3 linked regions of the Alligator mississippiensis genome follow. The protein of the gene in region 2 binds, or shares a complex with, the protein of the main gene of each other region. Links are inferred from orthologs where the notes say so. Each region holds a gene or a part of one and is shown on either strand. Other genes may lie near its edges. The genes, in order: WASF2, CYFIP1 and ABI1.

Region 1 (7,725 bases), on a different chromosome or scaffold from region 2:
CCACTGACCAATGAGTCACTACTCATGAAAGTGTTCTCAACTGTAAGCTTTAAGATATGCTTTCTGTATTTATTTGGCACACAATACATTTCCTAGAGATGTGGGTATAAAATTTGGCTCAACAGAACATTACTACTAATTCAGCCCTTTTGCCAAAAAATTCGTCAATAGTTTTGTGGCTGTCTACTGCTTATTAAGACTGTTTTTTGTTTTGTTTTAAATACAGCACTACAAATACATTGCTGCACTCTGCATCAGTACTACTACCCAAAGCCCGCTTGCCTTTTTCTTCAGCTCTTATTCTAGCACGTTTTCCATTATCGTGAATGTTCTGGACACCCGTACAAATTTGAGCTTAGGAAGTTCACCAAAAACTTATCATGGCAAGGGGCAAACGAATGGTGAGTGGAGGTCCACCTTGAAGTTTTAAGGACCACTCAGCTTCCCCGGGTTCTACCAGTTTCATTGAATCATAGAAAATTTGGGGTGGGAGGGAGCTCAGGAGGTCACATGTAGTCCAACCCCCTGCTCCAAGCAAGACCAGCCCAACTACATCATCCCAGACAAAGCATTCACTGCCGCTCACCAGATTCAGAAGGAAAAGGCGGTGGTGAAACTGCCGGGTGTGTTGCTCATGTCACCTGCGGGTGCTTGGAAAGACCCTGGCCAGTAGAAGTGGTACTGGACCCAGTGGATCCAGACTCCGGTCTTAGCCACATAATTAACAACAGGCATGATAAATTTAAAAAATGATCAAGACAAGGCATGCTGCTGAATTTCCTCGCGGTAAAACTGAGGTGGCCCTGTCTTCCCTTCAGGATAGGTAATGCACACTGGTTACTCTGAGGCGCACACGTACATAAAAAACCCCCAACCAAAGTGAAGCAGGGCCTCAGAAAGATGTACAGTCCATTCATCCTGGAAGATTATTTTCTCGTAGCTTCCACCCACTCAGCATGGTGCTTGCACCCTCGTTTTGGCTAGGTTAAACCCTAAAGTTGATGAGCCTGCTATAGTCCTGGCAGGGAGAACAAAGGCTTTGGAGTTAAAAACAAACCCCAACACATAAAAACAACTCATAGTAGAAAACTCATGCTTTTGAATGCAGAGGTCCCAGGTTCAATCCCTGCTGCTGACAACACACTCAGGTCCTGCCTTCCAAGTGGTGGCTCACACAGGGATCTGGATTAGGTTGACCTCTGCACCTTAGGTCCAGCTTTCCCACTCACATTTTCAACAAAAACTCTCGCTCTCTCTCTCAAAAAAAAGCATAAAATCTGCAGAAGCATCTGGCCCGCTCAGTCCTCTCGCCAGGTAAAGCATTGATTGCGAGTCTGCAACTGATCAGATTTTCCAAGTCATACTATAAAGATATCATTGAAGTTTAAATTCGATTGGTTTAAAACACGAAATGGAAAAGGATAACTTAAATACAAGACAAAACCCGCTCAGAGCGCTCGACACAGAACTTCTGCTGAACCGAAAATCCTAACGCTGAACACGTCCATGTGAGCAGCTTTTAATAAGCACCGGCTCTGCAGGCATTTCAAACTAGTGTGAGACGTTTAGGCCCTTTTTCTTCCTCATTTGGCAAATACTGTGCAAGCGTGCACACTTAAATATTGCCCATTAAGTAACATTTCTCGTGTCAGTTCTACTGCAAGGCAGGGCCTTTGTTCTTCGCTGGCCCCGGCACGTCTTTCACTTTCAACTTTTCCCCCCTCTCGCAAGGCTTCCTGCTCTTAAGGATGTCATACAAGCGTAAGGAGCACAAAGGGCTTGACAAATTACAGCCCTGTCCACAGCAGAAACATCTTCTAAAAGCTCCTCCTCGCTGCTAACATCTCCTCTGATGCCTGGGATAGCGGGCGCCGTGCAGCAGGCAGGTCACCAACACTTTTAACACCCCGGGAAACAAACCCGCTCTCGGCATTTTAAAGCGGCATCGAAAACTGCCAGCCGCCCCCCCTGCGCGGGAGGGCGAGCGGGGCTGAGGATGTCACCGAGACACGTCCAGCCCAGGCAGCAGCACAAACTTTGAGAAAACTTCCCTGATGTCAGAGCAGGGCCCGAGGGCCGGGAAGTGCCGCAACTTCCCCCGGCCCGAAGGGATTCAGGGCTCGTGTCCTCCGAGTGCTGCTTTCGGGCAGGCCCAAGGACACGCGGGAGATGACACCCGTGTGGAGGTCAGCGCGGGGCTGCCCTGGGCCTGCTGCACCCCGCGCAGCCCCTCCGGGATGGGGGGCCGCCTAGGGCGAGGTGTCCTCGGCCCCACCCTGCCACGCCGGGACCACGCGCTCTCCCGCCCCCGGCACTGCTGCGGGTGGGGCACAGCACAGCCCCACGCACCTGTCGTGGCACCCCACACACCCCAAGGGGGGGAGGGGGCACACACCCCAAAGGGGGGGGGAGGGGGCACACACCCCAAAGGGGGGGGGAGGGGGCACACACCCCAAAGGGGGGGGGAGGGGGCACACACCCCAAAGGGGGGGGGAGGGGGCAACTCCACACACCCCAAGAGGGGGGAGGGGGCACACACCCCAAAGGGGGGGGAGGGGGCAACTCCACACACCCCAAGAGGGGGGAGGGGGCATACACCCCAAAGGGGGGGGAGAGGGCAACTCCACACACCCCAACGGGGGGGGAGGGGGCAGCCCCACACACCCCAAGGGGGGGGGAGGGGGCACACACCCCAAGGGGGGGGGAGGGGGCAGCCCCACACACCCCAAGGGGGGGGGAGGGGGCAAACACCCCAAGGGGGGGGCTATAACCCCATAAGCGGGGGGCAGCCCCCCTGGACCAGTCCCCCGGTCACTATGTGGCAGGAAGCGCCCCCCCACCACAGGCCCGTGGCTCCCTATGTGGCAGCGGCCTGGAGCCCGGCTGCCCCCCCTCGCCCTCCCGCGCGCGCTCGCTCACCCCCGCTTGGAGCCGCGTCTCGGCCGCCGCCGCCGCCGCTACCCCCGGGGCGGGCCGCCCCCGCCGGCCGCCATTCCGCGACTCCCCTCCCGCCCGCCCGGCCCGGCGCGGCCCCGCCCCGCCTCCCCGGGCGCCGGCGCGCCGCCCCATTGGCTCCCCGCCTGCCTCTCCCCGCATGCCATTGGCTGCTGGGCGCCGCCTGTCAAAGCCGCCGTGCTGCGCCGCTTGCGTACGACGCTAGCGTAACACCGGGGCCGCACCCAAGCGGGCGACGCAAACAGAGTAAACAAGGGGGAACGTACCACCCGCGGGGAGGGGAGGGGAGGGGAAGCGAAGCATGGCTGCTTGGGGTGGGAACTCAAGGCTAGCACTTGACGGAAATAGTTATGTGTCTTCTTTGGATGCCATTGGGCTGCCTTGTTTTTCTTTTTTTTTAGGGAACGGTGGGCATTTCCAGGGCTGACCCACCCCTCATTTGGCATTGGTCTTGTCCTACCCGCACGGCTCGTGAACTCTGAGGAAGGGTCCACTTCGGAAAAAGAAAAGGGGGAGGGGGGATACTAGTAGAGGGAAGGGCCCAAATGGAAACGAGAGCGGGGGTGGGGCTGGGCCTTCCGGCAGGGGGCGGAGCAGAGGCGGGCGGTGCCTGTTTAACCCCTGCAGTGCCGCAGCCTGGCCTGCCTGCCACTTCCGGATTAAGAGGCACAACTAGCAGGGCAAGGAAATGGGCACAAGTCACATCAGCAGCACGAGCCAGAGGCCTCCATCTGCTCAGCCCACGAGGGATGGAGTGCCCTTGCAAATGCATTATAATTAATTCACTAAGTGCCACCCTACATTTGGGGTCCCCCCCCAAATCCCAATATATGCCCTTTGCAATGCTGCAGGGACGCGCGGCAGGCGAGAGCAGTGCAGGCGCTCCCCTTTGCACCAATGGCACACGCGTAGGAGCAAACTCCCCGATTCCCTCCCGGCCTTAGGGAAAGTTAGAGCAGCCTGGGGGTCGCTCTAAACTGTGCCAGCTGGAGCTGGATTAGGCACTAGCTAGAGCGCACCACAGCCCACCTACTTCCCCCTTGCGTTTCCACGTGCCACGGGAAGCTGGCTGCGCTGGGGACGTGGGACGGGAGCGGGGTGGGGTGGGGAAAGCAGCTCGTCCTCGCCCCACTTTGCGCACAGCACAAAGAGAACAGCCCAGGGACCCTCCTGGACTCCCCCGGCGCCCGCAGACGACACACCTGCCACACGAGCCACGTGCAAGGCCCGCGCAGCTCTCCGTCTCCCCTCCCGCAGCGCAGCACCTCGCGGGGCTGCCACAGCAAAGGCCAACAAAGGACGGCTCGGCAGCTGAACGCCGCAGCAACTGGGTCAGCGAGCATCTCCAGGGCTGAAGGTCACGCTCGTCTTAATCAGCACCTGCCAATCTGCCAGTGCTCCCTGACCGCATCCCATCTCCCCCCCCCCCTTCCCTGGGGCCTGCCTTTAGCTCACATCTTGAAATAATCAGGACTAATTACTTGGCGCCACCCCTCCAGGAGCTCCTCCCATCAGCACCAGGGATTCTCAAGCAGGGTGCCCTGAGATCCTCCCCGGGGTGCCACTGCCCGGTTAGCGATTCAGGAGAAAAACCCAGAGGTTTCAAATAGGAATCCGCAGCTGGGGTCTTTCCGAGTGCTTTGCCACAGGGAAAAAAAAAAATGCTCGTGTTATTTTTCTGTAGTCCAAAAAAACAGTGAAAGCGAAGAGCTGGCATTTTCCCAGGGGACCTTGAGTCTACGCCGGGACGAAGTTGAGAGCAACGGATCTACGCTCTCCCCGTGAGAAGCCCCTTGCCCGGTGCCCCGCACCTCTGCGGTGCTAACAAGCTCGCACCGCCGCAAGGCGTAGCCTCTGCCCCAACGGGAAGGTGCTGGAGGTTTTGGACTCCAGGTTTTCCTCGCTGCCAGTTCACTCGAAGAGGATTTGCTTCTCTCTCTAGGTGTCATAGCCTCAAGGGAGCCACCTAATCTGTGTCTGCTCTGCAACCTTTATCTCGGGGGGGGGGGGGGTGCTTGCACGCACACGTGTCTCAGTTTAGCCCTCCTGAATATGTGCTGTGCTGCAGTATCCCAGGCAGCCGCGCTGCCCCCTGACACTTATTTCTCTCCTGGAAAGGATCTCATCACCTGCCAATTGCCTTTCTGTATTTTCTGCCTGTAAATGATCCTCTGGCTGCGCTGCCCTGCAGACCGCCAAGGTGACTAGCTGAGCAGCTGGCGTGGGCGGGGGGGGGGGAGATGATGGAGGCTTTTCCATGACACGCTGCTTTCATGGTGAACTTCAGTCCTGAGCTTATGCTCCTTTTTTCTATCCTTCCCCAGCGCTGCAATCTCATTACGTTAAGCCCGTGGGTTGTGCCTGTCAAAATCTTAGTGCCGACCACCGAAGGGGGCCAGCAGACCGAACGAGGCCTTCTGGAAATAAGATGCTTGATCTCGGGGAGCTAAGTAAGATCAAGCCACTGCCCATCTGGACTCGGGAGGGCTCACTGGGCCATCGCACTGCAACTCTGCGTGGAGCTGACCATGTGCTCGGAGCTGCACAGGGTGATCTCTTCACGGCACTGCAGCATAACGGCAGCGTGTGTCGATAGGCAACTGCTTCGGTGCTAACAACCGCGTGGGTATTGCAGCACATCCGAGTACATCCCCGCTGCCCACATAACACGGGGGGTCTCTAGGAACGGGGGGCCTAAAAGCCTCCTTGCTCATCTGTAGCCCAGCACGTACCCAGGATTTCGGACAGGTTTGTCCAGCCTGCGTTGGAGCCTGTGCCGCTGCATTGCTAATCCCCGGGCAGGCTCGGTACGTGCTGCCGTCTCACCTGGGACTGCACGGTTGCCCTGCCTGAGGAGGGGTGCACGGAGCAGCGCACCCTCCGACCGAGAGGCACCCGCAGATTGCGACTGGCTTTGGGAAACGGAGGCAACGGGCAGGGATTTGCACCTGGCCTCGACATTAGAGCAACGCCTCCGGGGCCGAGCACTTGTTCACGTGCAGGCCTCCGAACCGGACCAAAGCTGAAGGGATGCGGGGACCGAAGAGCATCAAGTAAAGCCAGCCCGTCGAGCTGATTGATCTGCTTTGTGAAGACAGAGCGGTGGTGCAGTGCTGTGTGTTGGGGGCGGACGTGAAATCCTGCCTGTGAGCTTCAGCGGTCCCTTGGTTTTCCCAGCCAGCTGCTCACTTGTGCTGCGTGGAGGAGAGCTCTGCTTACATTTCTCATTCTGATAAGCTGCAAGGGAGGTTTGCGACGCGCTGGCTCGTCACGCCGTCAGCACTTTATGGACACGAAAACGGGCCTGTTCTTCAAAAGGGGCTCAACTCAGCGACCGAAGCCCCCAGGACCCCGAAATGACCTGTTTTGTAGGGAGGCCACGTAGCCTCGTGGTGACAGAGCAGGGCTGGGAGCTGGGAGCAGCGAGGTTTGATCCAGGCGCCGAGCTGCGACAGCGACTGGCATCACGTCAGTCCTAACCACAAACCCCTTTATCTCTCCGAGTCGCCGTTTCTCTCTCCGCAAGACGGAGACAGCTGCGCTTTTCTGTTTTGCAGAGCGCTCCGGTTTGTCATCCTCGAGATCTTCTGCCGGAGCCTGATCAGCATGGCACCCCAAGCCCAGCGGCCAGGCCAAGGGCCAAGGAGCACGCATCTTGCACCCCAGTCTCCCCCTTCGATTGATGCTTGCACGGGGCGCAGCGAGGGGCCGCGATAAACCTCGGGGGGGCTGGAGACCTGGGCTGGCAGCGGTCACGATGGCAAAGTGACAACGCCAGCACTGCCCAGGGGTCAGCGGGATCCCGGTTCCCCGTGGGCACGGAGGTGCCCTCGCCCCCAGCCTGGCTCGCTGCTTTGCCCGTGCCGCCGGGCGCCCAGGCCGGCGCTGGCGCTGGTGGAGGGCACTTGCGGGAACGCAGCGGTGCTGCTGACATTTACTAATCAGCGCTAACCTTAGATCCACACACACGCCGTCTCGCTCACTGTCTTGTCTCCATGGAGACACTGCAACCTTTGCTCACTAGTTAACGGTATCTCAGAAAAAACGAAACTCCGACGCCACCCTTCCTCCCGGCTCCCGCCCCCGTGGGAAGGGGGAACTTGCCCAGAGGAGACAAAACCTGGCTGTCGCCTCCGAGATATTTTGCATCTGCAGCCAGGGACAAGGGTGAGGCGGTGCTAAGAGGCAGGCAGGATTTGGCCCCCCGCCACCGAGTGCAAGAAGCGGGCTGGCACGGCCAGTTTGGGTGGCACTGATGCAGTGGGCAATAAAGACATGGTCTTATTTTGCATGGTCCACCCCAGAAACCAACTCAGGGAGTTTTTATTGCAGCAGCCGAAAGGGTCTCTGTGTCCGCGGTGTGCGATGGGATCCTTGCCAGGCTTCTGCACTGCTGGGCAGAGCGCAATTTGTGCGGTTCATGGCTCTCGCTGGCGCATTTCATTCCTTCCTGCAGCTGACGCGCATCCTCCCGCCCCCAGTGGCACCTGGGCTTACTTATTTAGCAGCAGGTTACTGGGGTCGGTGCTGGCAAAATCACGGCAGAGCATCTCGAGAGGCTCTCGCAACCCGGACGCCCGGGCTCTGCCAGCTTATACCGAAAAATAAAAATCCTCTTGCACTTTATGTCTCCGCCGGTGACCTCGGAGCCCTGCTACTGCACGAGCAATGTCAGCCCATCGAGCAGCATCTCCGCCGTACACAACTTGCTGGGGAGGAAGGGAAAAAAAGCAGCGAATTCCAGCCGCAGGGGGGTCTAGGAGCATGCTC
Region 2 (7,713 bases):
GGCAAAAGAAGCAGGAAGCTCTAATGAACTAAATTAGCATGCAGATAACTTTAAAAAAAATCTCTCTGGTTGCATCTTTTCCTTTGCTCTCACTTTACTTCTTGTTAGCTCAGTGGCTGGCCCTGGTGGAACCCAATACCGGAGGGGGCACACATACCATTCAGCTGTATGTACAACATAGACACATACCGCCACTCCACTTCTAAGCATAGTTTACAGCATCCAGACATCTTTAAAATACTGAGCTTCCTGAAGAGAGAAACTCGTCTACTATACTTTCTACTTACGTACAGATATGTATACTTATATACTTATGTACAGATACCTGGAAAAGCAGTGATAAGATCCAAATAGTACATACAAAAACTTATGAATGATTTCTGCAGTGGTTGTAATGATTCTATAACGTATGTTAGAGAAAACACTTTTTAATAAGTCAAGGTAAAAATTACTACTAAAATCAACTACATTTTTGACAGCTGTAAACAGCTGTAAACTCTGGAGTTACAAGTAAAACCAGTCCTACAACCTGAATAAACCCAAGAGTTATATCCAGGATATGCACCGTGAAATATGGTAATCTTGTTATAAGTCAAGGTTTGAAGCTCAATTTTTTGATGGTCTTAGTTATTTCAATACATTTCTCAATATCTAGTACCCTAAATTTAAAAAATTGCAATGTATTTTGTATTTTCAGACAACAGAGGAATTCATGAAGTCCCATTCCTTTACAGGAATTTCATTAGCCCTTTGTTCTTTAAATAAGTAAGCCTGAGAAAGTCTCCACTTTATACCAAGTCTTTGATCTTTAAGTCTGCAGCACGCAAAACATAAGATTTCTCTCATTTGACAGGAAAAAAGGAAAAAAAGTTAGCCTGTCTCCCCTTCCCCGCCATTCTAAAATTTGATTTTAAGTTGTTCCCACTTTCTGTCACTTACAGGAACAGTCTATTTAAAACAGCTGAACTGCATAAGCAAATGACATGAAGCAACACTTGAAAAAAAACACAAAAAAACAACAAAGCCATGTAGAAGAGGCCAGCCGAAACATTATATGTAGATCCCAACACAGTTTTTGAAAAGGGATGAAACTGGGGCTAATCATGCAGGTTCACAAAACAATATAAATCACAGCTATTCAATCTAAGTACAACAGATTGTGAATATGAAAATACTGACCAGAAAGCAGGAAGCTTCAGCAGGGTATATTATTCTACCTTCCAGTTTCAAAAGTACACAAACTCACAATGATGCAGGCATCAACATTCACTAGACCTCATTTCAATTCTAGAAAGTTGCAGCACGTGCAGTGCAATACCTGTGATGGTGACGAGACCCTCCAGTCAGCAACTACAAGTCTTATGATTCTAGAGGAATTTCAAAGCTTCTAACAATGTATTTTTTTACATCCCTGTTAAGGAACTTCCCTTCTGGACAACCAATCCAGTCACCACTCAAAACCAGCTTGCGGGATGTCACAAATACTGATCTGCTTGCAGTGTGTGATTTGCTCTTCAAACCCACTACAAAGCTTACAAACCAAAACAGCTGGGGAATTGTATTAGAAAACATCAGCTGTGTAAATTTAAGCCTTCTGTTTGCAGTTGGGAAGGGCCTTCTAAACAGCCAGATATCCATTTGCCTTCAGAAAGTCCTGCCAAGGCAGTAGGATGAAACACCACCAGGTCACCAGGATGTCTACTGGAAGCTGATATCTTCCTTTCTATCCTGCCCTGCTCCTCACAGACAATACTAGTGGAGCTGGAAAGGAACCAGTTTCCTTCAAACTGTTGTTCCAAGGGTGCTTTCTTTTGCCACAGCCACGGGCCTCCCCTTTGCAACAGCAAGTCCAACCCAAGCCTCACAGTTGGGGGGGGGGGGGGAACGGGTGTCAATTCTCCTCCGCATTTGAGAGGCACTGACAACCTGGAACAGGCAACTTAGAGAAACAGTGGGATCTTCATCCTTAGAAACTGTCCAAGAGCAGATGGGCCAGCCCTTGGCTGGCATGGTTTAATCAGGACAATCCTGCCTGGAGCACAAGGCTGGACTAGATCAGTGTTTCTCCAACTGTGGGTCACAACCCTGGCTTTTTCCTTGTAGTCTGGCAGAGTTCCAGCCTGCAAGGGGCTGCTTGGGGGCCCCTGTGCTCCACACACACCTAACCCCACCCCACACACTGTGGGTGGTGGGCAGTGGGTCAGAAGTGAGAGGCACTGGACCAGGACAAGCCATCAATGTTTGCAAATGGGTCCTGGTCCAAAAAAGAGTAAGAAGCACTGGAGTAGAGGACCCCTGCATATGGGTGACTGATGCCTCCTGAGTCTGGGGGGGGTAGGGGGGGGCCAGCAGGGCACAGCCAGCCATACAATGACCCAGCAGCCAGTCACCAAACATGCTAGCGGAGCCAATTTGGGGAGGGGGGGGGCACTAGCACTCTCCATGCCCCCCTACCAGCCAGAGCGCTGTCAGGGGGGCACCAGCGCTCTCAGGCCTCCACCCCCACATATCCCCTATGCCTCTGGAGATCCCTCGCCTCTGGAAGTCTCTTCCAGCCTTACTTCCCTATGTGCCCCTTGCCAGGCAGGGCATGCGCTCCCTTTGCCCCTGTACCATATGTGGGGCTCAGAAACGCAGGAGACCTTGCCTCCAAGCAGCCAAACGCAGGCGCTGAGGGCCGCCTAGGCCAAGCCCCTGCCAGTCAGGAGGTGCCCAGGCTTTAGCCTGCCCAGGTCCGGCACCTCCCTCCCCTCAGCCGGAACCCCCGCGGCTTCTTGCGCGCAGGGGAAGCCCCGGGCCCGAAGCCCGCGGGCAGCACGTCACAAGGGGGCTGGAGGAGAGGCAGGAGCCCCCGGCCGCCCCCCGGCCCGCGGGAGCAGCGAGGGGCAGGCGAGGCGCTGCCCGGTGCTCACCCGTCCGCGGCAGCGCGGGGTGCAGCCGCCGCCCTGGGGATCGCCGCCGCTGCGCTGGGCCGGGAGTTTCCTGCCTGAGTCACTGGAGCTGGGAGCTGCGCAGGGAAACACCCTTCCTGCGGCTCCGGCCCCGCCTCCCTTCCCCGGCAGGAGCTGGGGGGTGGCCCCGGCAGCGCGGGCCCGGCCCCCTCGGCTCCAGCTTCCTACGCTCAAACCGGCCCCCAGCCGGCCCTGCTGTCTCCAAGCGTGCCGCAGGGGGCGGCGGCTGCGGCTGAGCACGGGCCAGGCCGGGCGGGCTGACCCACCGGGGGTCTAGGGGCTGCACGTGGGGAGGGGCATGGCCACGCCTGCCGCAACACCCACCTTGCAGCAAGGGAGGGCTAGGTCCCAGTAGGGTGGCCATCATAGGGCACAGTCCGGTTGTCCTTTATTGATACAAAACCGGACGCCTTTATGTCCTCTATTTTTCTCATCAAGACCTCTGGATATGGGCGGCTTGTGCCTCTTGAGTCTAGGGGACACCAGCGGGGTGTGACCGGGGGTAGGGTCCCCCAGCGGCCACCGGGGCAGGGGGGGACCCAGCCTCCAGTCACCAAGTGCACTGGCACAACCAGTTTCAGGGGGAGCACTAGCGCTCTCTGTGCACTCTCCATTGCTCCAAAAGAAAAATAGAGGACATAAAGGCATCCAGTTTCATATCAATAGAGGACAGAGTAGCAGAAAACCAGAACATCCTCAGTGGTGGCCACCCTAGGTTCAAGATAAGGAAAAACCTCCCTCCAGAGGAGGGTAGAAAAGCACTGAAACAGGTGACCCAAAGAGGTGGTGGACTCTCCAGACTTGGAGGCTTTTAAGACCTTAGTAGACAAAGCCTTGGTTGAGATGATCTAGTTGGGGACAGCCCTGCTTTGAGCAGAAGGTCGGACTAGATCTGCATTTCTCAACCTGTGGGTTGTGACCCAAAAGTGGGCTGCAAGAAAATACTAAAGGGTCATGAACAAACTTTAAAAAGGGATCAACAAACTAAAAAATTGTTCTTCTTTTTAGGGGAAAAATGTGGGAAACCATGGTTTTTCCCTTGCAGGCTGGCAGAGCTCCAGCCAGCCGTCCCTACACACTGGGGACGGGGGGGCGGGGAGCAGCAGGTCAGGAGTGAGGGCCACTGTGTCGGGACTGGCCACTAATGTTTACAAATGAGTCCTGGTACAAAAAAGGTTGAGAACCACTGGACTAGAGGACCTCTTGAGGTCCCTTCCCACCCTCATTTTCTATGTTTCTGTGTTTCTCCAGCTGTACTCAGAGGCTGGGGCAGGTCAAGGGGGCAGCCAGGGGGTATTTACCACCGGTCCTGTTTTTCCCCTACACAAGATGCTTAATGTGCAGGAGACTCATTCTACTGCACATTAGCACAGCAGACACAACCTGTACCACTGCACAGTAGATTTAATCTAATGCTCATTAATGTCACTAAAGAACCAGTCATCTCTGCTACTGTGCATTAGCACTGAATATGGCACATTAAGTTGGTATCTGTCATCACAGATACTAAACTTAATGCACTGTAATTATGGTGCATTCATGAATTTGTAAATGCTCCCAGTTAAAAAGAAACTAGAAGCTTCACTGTTCGGCCAGGGCAGGTCCAGGGGGTAGCTAGATGAATGAGCTATGAAGCCAATTGATTCCCTGCCTAGAAATGCTGCTGCTACTAACAGGCAACTAACTGGTTTAAAACTTTGAGTGGAGTAGGAATCAAAGTAGGATCCACCCCAACTATGTCTATCACAACAACCATGTTTTTCCAGTTAGATACAAACTAGAAGCTCAACTGACAAGCTGGGACACATCCAGGGAGAAGATAGAGTGATCTGGCTGGGATGATCTAGTTGGGGATGGTGCTGCTTTGACCTTCTGAGGTCCCTTCCAACCCTCATTTTCTATGATTCTAGGGGTGTCTACTACTAACACCTCCTTTTCCCCAATTAAAAGAAGCTAGAAGACTTGCTAATCGGCTGGGTGCCTGGAGCTGTGTTGTGCAGTTTCAGATGGAAGCAAAAACAAAGATAAGTTCCTTGGAAAGAGTTAAAAACAGTCTGCAGGGCTGTGAAATAAGAGCTTCCTAACCAGCTAACAGACAGCAGAGTTGCTGAAGAAAGGCTAACGTGCTTGGTGGAACAGGCAGACCCTTGAAAAGAAGAGAGGCAGGTTAACACCTGTGGAATACAGAATTTGGAAGGGGTCAGGTAGATGGATAATGAGGCATGAAGTCAAGTGACTCTGACAGCGCTGCCTAACTAGAAATGCTGCTGCCACTGCCAGGCAGTTGGTTTTAAACTTTGGGTGGAGCAGAAATCAAAGGGGTATGCAAGTGTGTCAGTGCAACCCCCTACATGCCCCTGCCCCAGATTTCTATGTGACATCTCTGGGTTTGTGATTCATGAGTAAGTGCTTGCACAGCAAACAGTGCTAATATTAAGCAGCACCCCTCAGCACCCTTAATTTAGGAGTCACGAGATCATCTTAACAATCAGCAGCTTTCAGCTCTGGGATAAAATCTGGGGAGGTAGGGACAGCCATTCCTCCTGGTGGTGCATGTTTTTGTATCAAATTGTATACCTAAAAATGGTACCAGGTGTCCTATTCCCCACCACCCCTTGACACTAAGTTTGCCTAAATCTTCACAGCACTCATGGCAGCAGGTCCCAGTGCTGCAGACTTGCATACCTTTTCAGCTGTACACATATTGAGTGTTTCCCGTTTAATCGGGCTGTGCAGGTGCACAAAGTTAAGCACAAAGGTAATGCTCCATCCTGCAGAAACTGAAGTCAGACCCTCAGGACAGTGCAGGGAGCAAGCCAATGTTGGTAGATCCACTTCTTTACCTGTAGTGTAAGCCTCCGTGTGAATTTTTCTGACACTTTGAAGCAAGTAGTTTCTCACTCCACCACATAGGGTTTTTCACATTTATGTTAACAGACTTGATGCTTATATTTACATGTATAACACTCACTTTGCATTTTCATTCTTCCAGAAAACTTCTTATTTTGTAAAAAGATGAGTCAACTTGCCCAGAATGTGTGGAGTGTTCAGGAGTCAGCCCAATGTGCTGCAGTGATCCCATTTATTTCTACAGGCCTCTTTCTACATGTAAAATTGAGCACATGGTCAGCACCTTCAGGCACAGAACAGGAGTGCCTTTCTCACTTCATGGAATTGAGGAGAGGGGTCATGTTGATGAGGAACAGAGATCTCAACTGTTCGGCCATGGGATAAGAACTGTACCTTCTTCGCAGCATGGAAAGTGTGTAGTACACCAGGGGCAGAAATAAAGCTAAATTGTTTCAGAAATCACACACACACACACACACACACAAATGTATATATCTATTCTGTCTGAAATAATAATACAATATTACATACTGGCCCTCAAAATGCTTAGCCCGGGAATTACCAATACTTTCCTCATTCAACATTCCCATTCTTTCCTTGCCCAAGTTAATTTTCTCTCTCCATACTCTAATACACAAATAATACAGTAAGACATTTCCATTGATGCACTTATTTCTGTTTCCAAGGACTTGTTCTCAGTAGAGAAATGGGAAGTACTAATGGCTGTGTTGTCAAAGAGACTTATGTATTTCAATTAATCATAGGCTTAAGGGCTTTGCTCACTTAGTGTATGAAGCAGAATCTCCAATCCCATCTTATTTTTCTAACATGTATAAAAGTTAATACCACGTGCTCTTGCTATTTCCAGCAGATTACAATTCATAACTGAACTGAAGTGGTTACTTTTTACTACACTGGAAAAGATAAATTGTAGCTTGGCAAAGGGAAGCAAGAGGGCTAGAAAGGGAATCCTTTTCAGGTATAAAGTTCCAAAAAATGGAAAAAAGTAGAGAAGGAAAAATACAGATAACTGATCAGAGACTCAAGTCTGACATACTCATTCAGGGAGCTCAAAATAGTGGCAATAATTAAAACAAAAGGAAGTAATTTTGAAAAAACAGATTAGTATATTAAACACACCATAAAACTAACTTAATGAAACTTAGGTAGCAAACTGTCTTGATTGGGGTGAATAAAATGTGGGTTAGCTCTGTAGCCATTACTGCCACAATGATCTTCAATTACATAATTTCAAATTTATTTTCTAGAACACCTATTTGGTTATTTTGTCTCAGACTTAAAATGACTCTTTGGGATCCAGAGCTGACTTACACTGTAGTGTAGAAATATATTTGTTATGATCTAATAAAGGAGCTCTCTCTATTATCTTTAATCTTATCTTGGATGTATGATCTGGATAAGCGCTGCTCATTTTCTGAATTTTAAAATATTGAATGTGGAACCAAATGGGGCACAACAGGCATCTCTGTGCAGTAGCCTCTCTCTCAGTGTCCATTTTCCTTTGTTTTCTCCTTTGTTGATCACACTTCCTCCAATTTCTCGAGCCCTCTGTCACTTGGCACCTCCATTTCTCCTGCCTTCCATTTTTGTTTGGAGTCCCCTAAGATTATATCTTATTCCTTTCATCTCCATCACATTTTATACCCGAGTGACTTCATTTACTTGTCTTCAATGACCATCTTTCTGCTGCTCTCTTTTTTCCATTCTGACTTCTTCCCGTGTTGTCTTGAAGTTGTCATTTAAACTGAGCATAATACAGAACTCCTCTCTTCGTTACCTCCTTGATCTCCACTGCCAGTTGGTTTTTTGTCCTCGAGAGCACCCAGAATGCTATCAGCACAACAATAACAGCTATAGAGCCAATCCACATTTCATTCTCTCTCCAATTTTC
Region 3 (7,210 bases), on a different chromosome or scaffold from region 2:
GCTTCTGTCCATATTTGGGTGACTCAGCAGAATACTGACCCTTTTTTTCCCCTCACAACAAACCACCTGTCCCCTTTCTCAAGCACTATCTTCATCTTGTGATTTCGTCCTTCCTTGCAACTGGCATTTTGAAGGGCATTTTGGCAGTGAGTGCAAAACAGAAACCAAGAGGAGTGACCATGAGCTGGGAGAGGAAGGGATTTAAGAGCATCTATGATGTAAGAAAAATTATGGAGCTATTAGAGAAGAGGGGACCTCAGACTCAGCCAGGAAAGATGAAAGGTTGAGGGGAGGGAGGAACAAAGTGGCAAACAAGAGGCAGGGAGTCCCGCAGAACAAAGAAGAGGAGAGAACTGAAATTGAAAGGACAGAACAGGAGGGAGAGAAAGGAGAAGCTTGGTGGTTAGAGCATTTATAGGGAGGAAATGGGATAAAAGAAGATTGGAGCGTAGAGGGAGGGAGAGGGGAGAGAAATGGTGAAGTGGGGCGGAGAAAAGGATTGAGAGTGAAGGCATAAGCCATAGATGAAAATGCATTACGGGAGAAAGATCAAGTCAAAGTACCATAGAACTATTTATTTTTGTGCCTCTTCTATCTTTGTACATTCTCAAGATAGCAATGTTTTGTTTGATTATTTTGTGCTCTCCAATGGCTAATGCTGCCTAGCAGTGACTGGCTTGAGTGTGCTTCCTCTGCCATCACAAAACACTCCTGCTGCCTAGCAACAAACAGTTTGTGTGGAAGCCTTGTCCAGTATACAAGGCACCGGTTTTTAAGTCAGGCAGATCCCAGGAACAGCGGGTTCACAGGAGCATGGTGTGTGAGGGCACCTCTTGGAAAAAGATACTCGTATTCTCAAATCTTGGCACTCACGAAAAAACCCTCCAGCTCTTATAGTTGTGAAGAAAACCTCAAATATATATGTCTTGTAGGGCTCTCTGCATGAGCTGAGAGACGTGGGAATTGCCCCATTCAGTTCAGTGAGGTGTTAACTCAGGGATGATAAAAATAAGCATGATATCAACAAAATATTAATTACATTGGTAATTTCATTCCTTGTACAAGGCTATATTTACACGAGATAAACTGTACCCAACAAACCTAAGACAGAGGTAGGCAACCCCTGGCATGGGTGCAAGAGCTTGGCATGTGAAAGCATTTTACTTGGCACACAAAGTTTGGGGCAGGCAGTGGGGAAAGGGCTGGGGCTCCACTGTCACAACAATTGGGCCCCTTGTGGCTCCCCTACCATCTGCCCTAGCATGTGAACATTTTACAAGTTGAGGTTGTGGGTGCTTTTGGCACTCTGCCCAAAAAACATTGCTGATCCCTGGTTTAAAATGCAAGTATAAATGAAAATAATTCTACTGATATAATTTTCTGGTCAATCTTATTCAGGTATGAAAGTGCCTGAAGTGCCCTTTTTTGGTTGTACTAGTCTCCCCTGAGAAAGGGATAAATAATAATAATAATAAGCCACTCTTGTACCAGCATAAGAGTGTTCACTTTGGATACTGGGATAGAGGTTATATGTGTAATCGGTATGGTTGATAAAACTTTCCAGTACAGGATGATCCTAAGAAAGAAGACCAAGGGTTGTGGATCTACCCAAATTACTGAGTAAATGTTCACTTTGTTGCCATTTGTGAGGCTTCTTCTTAACCCAGGAGGAACCAAGCCCCAAAACAGGGGTGGCCAAACTGCAGCACACATGCCGCAAGTGGCACTGGCAGCCTTTTTGTGGCACATGGCAGACTGAGGAGGGGGTAGGCAGCAGCATGGGAGCAGATCAGTCAAGAAGCAGGAAGGAGAGTAGCAGATGGGACTGGGCAGGGGATTAGAGTAGTACTTAGGGAGGCTGCAAGGCTTAACTTGTGGTAGGTCTGTTAAAAAGGTTGGCCCCACTGCCTCAAAATGTGGCTGTGTTTATGGATGCCTTTAAATCCCAGCCAAAGGGAGCCCATGCATAAGAAGCCAAGTTAGAGTGATGCAGCAGCATATTTAAGCATCTACAAAATCTGCTGTGTGCAGGATGTCATCTCAACTTCTCCCTGGAATAGAACTTATTTTTGTAGGTAGATCTTGAATAGGACCACAGCTATTCTTCTCCTGCAGTCAAGAGAGGTGTGCTGTTTTCAAATCATCTGTTGCCTTGCTGTGCTTGACCAATGCTTGAACAATCATTTAACCTTTGCATGGATAGGGAAAACAAAAGTAAGCCGCTATTAACAGCAAGTATCAGCTAGGTGGCGCTGCTACATATGACCTTTCAAGTTCTGTTTCTTGTTCCAGTAAAGTTTTGATTCTTGTGCAGACACCAGGAGGAGGTTGCCTGTTTGGATTATACAAAGTATTTGGTGTAGAGGCAGTTTGTAGAGAAAGGGAACCATGAAAGCAGCAGGAGAATTTGCTGCCTACTACAGCTCTGATTAGTGTAAGATCCTGAGGCAGAGTTGTCCCCTTAAGAACTTTATCATTTTCAAAACAAGCACCATTCATAATACAGCAATTAATACAAAAACATAAAATGTGATAATTAAATCCTTGTGCTAGTGCATGTACACAAGAAGACATGTTCAGCAAGTTTAATTAATGCTTTAAAATGTGTTTCTTACATCAACCAAAGCTGGAGAACGCCATGTCTGCTCATCACATGTCCCTTAGTTGCATTATTCTGTAGAGGCTTCCTCTCTGGCTCTTGAGTATGCTCATCCAAGTCCACAGGTGTGACATTTCCAATGATAATTGCAAAGAAAAGAAAATCAGTTTCTGGACCTTCCTAGATCACTTGTTATGAACTTTCTGTGTTGGCTGACTCAGACCTTATAGCACCCCCTTTCTGGTGATGAACACAAAGTCAGGTAAGATGCAAATAAGACAGATGCCTATATGCCTGTTTGAGTTGAGCAGCAATCTGTGGATGTGTCCAGATTAGTGCGGCTGTGCGGAATGTGGCACCACAGACCCATCTGCAGTGCCACATGCTGCACATGCAGACGTTCTCCATGTTGCAATCTTGCAGTGCTACAGGGTTTTTTGACCCCAGGAAATCCTGGAGGTCAAAAACCCCTGTGCCGAAGAGAAGTGGGGTAGTGCATGTGGTGGCAGTGCACACCACCCAAAACCAGAGCCTGGCACAGGCCTGGGGCAAGTAGCAGTGGCACAAGGTGGCTGTTTCTTGTCCCCGGGGAACCAAACGTCTGTCCTCTTCTGGACGCAGCCCCTTATTCTAGTTTTGCCACTGCAGCTCCTGGCTGAGATGTGCACACAATTATAAGAAAGCCTGATGTCAGGGGCAATGCGTAGGGGGTGCATATGCACCCCCTGAGTGCTGGTGCACCCTGTCAGGCTGCGCTCCCTGTTTAGCCGACAGGCAGGGGGGCAGGCAGTCAGTGGGATTGGCTGCTGGGGGACTCCCTTCCCCTCCCAGTCACTGACTCAAGAGGCACCAGTCACCCGTGCCTGATGCTATCACACAACTCAGTAAAAGTGGCCTGAACCCATACTCTGCCCCAGAAAAGATACTGAAGAAGTGTCTCTCTTCAGCCTCCTCCTCTTCTGGTGGCCCGAGTGCTCTGGTTCATTCCCACAAGGACCACAGCCCCCACCAGGTTTTCCTCCTGGGTTTCTCACAGCACTTTGAATGGGGGAGCAGTGCTTGCTGGAAGAACCAAAGAGGATGGGATAAGAAAGACAAGGTTCTTTGAGTAGATGCAATATCTTTTATTAGACCAACTGAGTAGTTGGAAAAAAGTTCTTGCCAAGCTTTTGGGTGTTGTCACCCTTTGACTGAGCCCGAAAGCTTGCCAAGAACTTTTTTCCAACTACTCAGTTGGTCAAATAAAAGAGATCACATCTACCCAAATAACCTTGCTTACCTGTGTCCTTAGACCAACATGGCTACAACCAAAAACCCAGCAACAGGGATGAGAAAGAAGCATCCCGAAAACTGCTTGGGCTCGGGCAGCGCTCGCTGGGGAGCCGCCACCCAGGCACTCAGCGCGGTAGCAGCCGAGACGCGGCGCGGGCAGGGGAGTCTCCCATGCAGACCCGGTGGTAAAGACAAACGCAGGAGGCGGCGGAGGCAATCCTCCTCCTACGCATGCGCACAGAGGCGAGCGCCGAGGCCTACATTTCCCAGGCTGCCACACAGCGGGTGGGTGGGGCAGTCTCCCACAATGCCCTCTGGGCGGGTGGCCGAGGCGGCGGCGTTGCCGCTGCTGTCTCTTTAAGGCGGGGGAAGCGATGCGGAGCGGTGGAAAATGGCAGAGCTGCAGATGCTGTTAGAGGAGGAGATCCCGGTGGGCAAGCGCGCGCTGCTCGAGAGCTACCAGAACCTCACGCGCGTTGCCGACTACTGCGAGAACAACTACATCCAGGTGCGGCCGCCGGCGGGGCCGGGCCGGGCCGGGCCGGGGCGGGTGGCAGCCCGAGCCCAAGCCGCGCCGGGCAGGGCAGGAAGTGGGCGCCGCGGCGGCAGGAGCAGGGAGCGGTGCAGCCGGGCAGGGCCCCCGCCGCAGCCCGGGGCTTTTCTCCCCTGAGGTTTTCTGCTGAACTTCATCCCAGTCTCCCGGGCGGAGGGTGGGGGCGGGCGGGCCGCGGCGCCCGGAGGGTGTGTCCGCTTCCCCCGGGCTTGTTTGTTGTGAGTCACGTCGCGCCTCCCGCCCTGGGGCCTGCCTGCGTGTGCGTGTGTGTGTCGGGCGGCACATGCAGCTCAGGAAGGGAAGGGCGCGCCCAGCTGCCAGGCTCTGCTCTCCGCGGGACCCACACCCACACCCCGTCAGTCAGTCAGGCGCACACTGCCCCTGCTCCGCTGCCCCCCCACGCACACCCTGTCACAGTCGCACCCCACCTGCCCACTGTGAGGGACTTCCGCGAGGCAGGAGTGCCCGAGCCCCCCACACCTTGGCAGTGTGTGTGGAGGTGTGTAAGCATGTGCGCTCACAGACATGCTTTGGGGACCGCTGGGGCTGAAAGGACATGCTCGTCCCAGGTGTGCGTGCAGGGGCGTTGTGTGGCAGGGTGGGAGGCAGTGCTTGCTGCTGCTGTGGCGCCCCATCCGGAGGGCAATGGATGCTTGGGCCTGTCACTTCTGTGAGGTGCGGCCTGTTGTTCCCACTGCAGGGTGCTTGGGCCTCAGACTGCTCTGGTGTCCCCTGTTGCTGGGACAGCCCCAGGTTCCACAGCCTGCTACCGGTGGCTTCCTAGTGACCCAGTTCCCTGCGCCTCTGTCTGAGGCTCCTCTGTGGGTGCTGCTTTAAGGACACTTTAATTTAAACTGTTTGCAAAGCTTTCATTTGATCTCTTTGCTTCCGAATCCAGTCTTCCATCCACTGTGCCTCTTGTACATTCCCCAAAGAACTCAGCTGTTCTCCTCCTCCTCCCTCCCTCCCCCCCCCGGGAAAAATGATATAGAGAAAAGGAAGCTGAACTATATGCCATGAGTTGTCTTTCAGATAAGCCTTTCAAATGTAACGTGTCCCCAGTTGGGTGTGCTGTACCAAAGCTCAATACAGTTTTTAATACTTCCAAGTTATTTGGTATCCATCTGCAGCTAGCTGGTTATCCTTCTTTTCATGGAGCACCACACTTGAAAAGGAACCACAATGTTTCTTTAAGGAAATTGCTTCTGAAAATACAAAGTAATCATTTTGACACTTTAGATTGAAACTGCACTAGGAAATCAGAATTTGCATAGGGAAAGGTTGACATCTGTCTGAGTGGGTGGCAACACAGTTTAAACTTTTTGTTTTGTTCTTGGGAGTTACTTGCTCCACCCGAAAAAATCTGCTGATGCAAATGCTTTTAAAAGGTGAGGTTGCATTTGGTTTTACTCATGGGAAATATGACAAACACATGAACATAGTAATTGCAGCTCATGTTTTGACCTGTCTGACTCTTCTTTCTATTTGAGAAAAGTTGCAAAGAATCTGTTTGGCACTGTGTTCATTTAAAATGATCAGAATCATAAACCTTACTAATGTTTTTAAAAGAAATGAATCCCATTAGTCATTTGAAAGTCACATAACCAGCAACCACTTGAGAATCAAAACCTGCTGTGTACTTGACAGCCTGTCTGCAAGTGGCTGTATTTTCCTTTTTTGGAAAGAATCTGACATGCTAAAATGCAGAGTCAGGACTTACGCAGTAGTCTCATGGGGTTTATATCTAGTTTGCATTGTGTGTAGGTTTAATCAAATTTAGAAAAAGTGTATTGATGATGAGAGAGATATTATTTTTGGTAAGGTAAGGCTTGAATAAAGCCATCTGTTCTACTGTTACAGAGGATTGACTGTAGTAGTGGCAGTGTCCTAGATGGCACTGCCACAGGATTAGAGGATACAAGGCCAGTGTAGGGTGATGAGAATGAGTAGGTGGGATCAAAACGTGGTGTTTATACTGAGTATCTTTGATCGGACAAGTCAGTCAGTATTTTTAACATCTAGGTTGGCTATGGCACCCCATTTGTCTTTATCGTGGGAAGAGGCAGTCAAAGCAGAACAAGGCAAGAGAAGCTATAGACGAAGTACAGCATTAAATGTAGGATGTCATCATCTGGGTCCCTACTTAAGTGACTCAAACCAGGCTCTGTGAGGTCTCTGACAGAAATGTGACTACTGGTGCATACGCTCTGTCTTTCAGATCTAAACAGCAATATGCTGTTCTCATTGCAGGTGTTACTCTGTTGCCACCACCTGTGCTTTGTGAAGTTGAAACTAAATGGATTTTGTTTGACATTTTTGATCAAACCACACAAATGTTTGTTGTAAACACATCTGGTTACTGTTTTTTTGTATTTGGTATCTAGCTGTCTTTACCTGGGCAAGACTTAGTTTTATTAAAGATAAGACTTAAAAGCAATAATCTTAAAAGATTGATTTCCCTCCCCTGAGAGAACTTTAGAAGTATCTGTATTCAAAATATATGAAATATATATATATGAATATATATCAGTCTGAAAAGATGAAACTTAAATCATCTTTCTTGTCCTTTCTTTTCTTTGTTCCTACTCTGCCCCCAGCAACTGACTGATCTCTGGATGCCAGTGTTCAAAGGAACTGGGAAGCAGTTTACGGTTACCATGTACTGTGCAACAAACAATACCAAATCAGAATTCCAGGTAGTAGGGTATCTTGTCTGCCAAGCCATTCATGTTCTGAAAGTCTGTCTAATAAAAGGAAAAAGAAAGAAGATGCTAAATGGAGCCAAT

The links.
Region 1: CYFIP1 (region 2) and WASF2 share a complex: the UniProt entries of both Homo sapiens proteins name them as parts of the WAVE2 complex. The link is inferred for Alligator mississippiensis from reciprocal best matches to the Homo sapiens genes CYFIP1 and WASF2.
Region 3: CYFIP1 (region 2) and ABI1 share a complex: the UniProt entries of both Homo sapiens proteins name them as parts of the WAVE2 complex. The link is inferred for Alligator mississippiensis from reciprocal best matches to the Homo sapiens genes CYFIP1 and ABI1.

What each region holds. Positions count from the first base shown.
Region 1 is NC_081829.1:2,438,228-2,445,952, reverse strand, and holds the start of WASF2 (actin-binding protein WASF2), read right to left. Parts: upstream 3,014-7,725; 5' UTR 2,920-3,013; intron 1-2,919. UniProt on the Homo sapiens protein: Downstream effector molecule involved in the transmission of signals from tyrosine kinase receptors and small GTPases to the actin cytoskeleton. Promotes formation of actin filaments. Part of the WAVE complex that regulates lamellipodia formation.
Region 2 is NC_081824.1:338,765,685-338,773,397, reverse strand, and holds the start of CYFIP1 (cytoplasmic FMR1-interacting protein 1), read right to left. Parts: upstream 3,035-7,713; 5' UTR 2,913-3,034; intron 1-2,912. UniProt on the Homo sapiens protein: Component of the CYFIP1-EIF4E-FMR1 complex which binds to the mRNA cap and mediates translational repression. In the CYFIP1-EIF4E-FMR1 complex this subunit is an adapter between EIF4E and FMR1.
Region 3 is NC_081828.1:189,409,999-189,417,208, reverse strand, and holds the start of ABI1 (abl interactor 1), read left to right. Parts: upstream 1-4,177; 5' UTR 4,178-4,262; coding exon 4,263-4,379; intron 4,380-7,021; exon of another isoform or gene 7,022-7,120; intron 7,121-7,210. UniProt on the Homo sapiens protein: May act in negative regulation of cell growth and transformation by interacting with nonreceptor tyrosine kinases ABL1 and/or ABL2. May play a role in regulation of EGF-induced Erk pathway activation. Involved in cytoskeletal reorganization and EGFR signaling.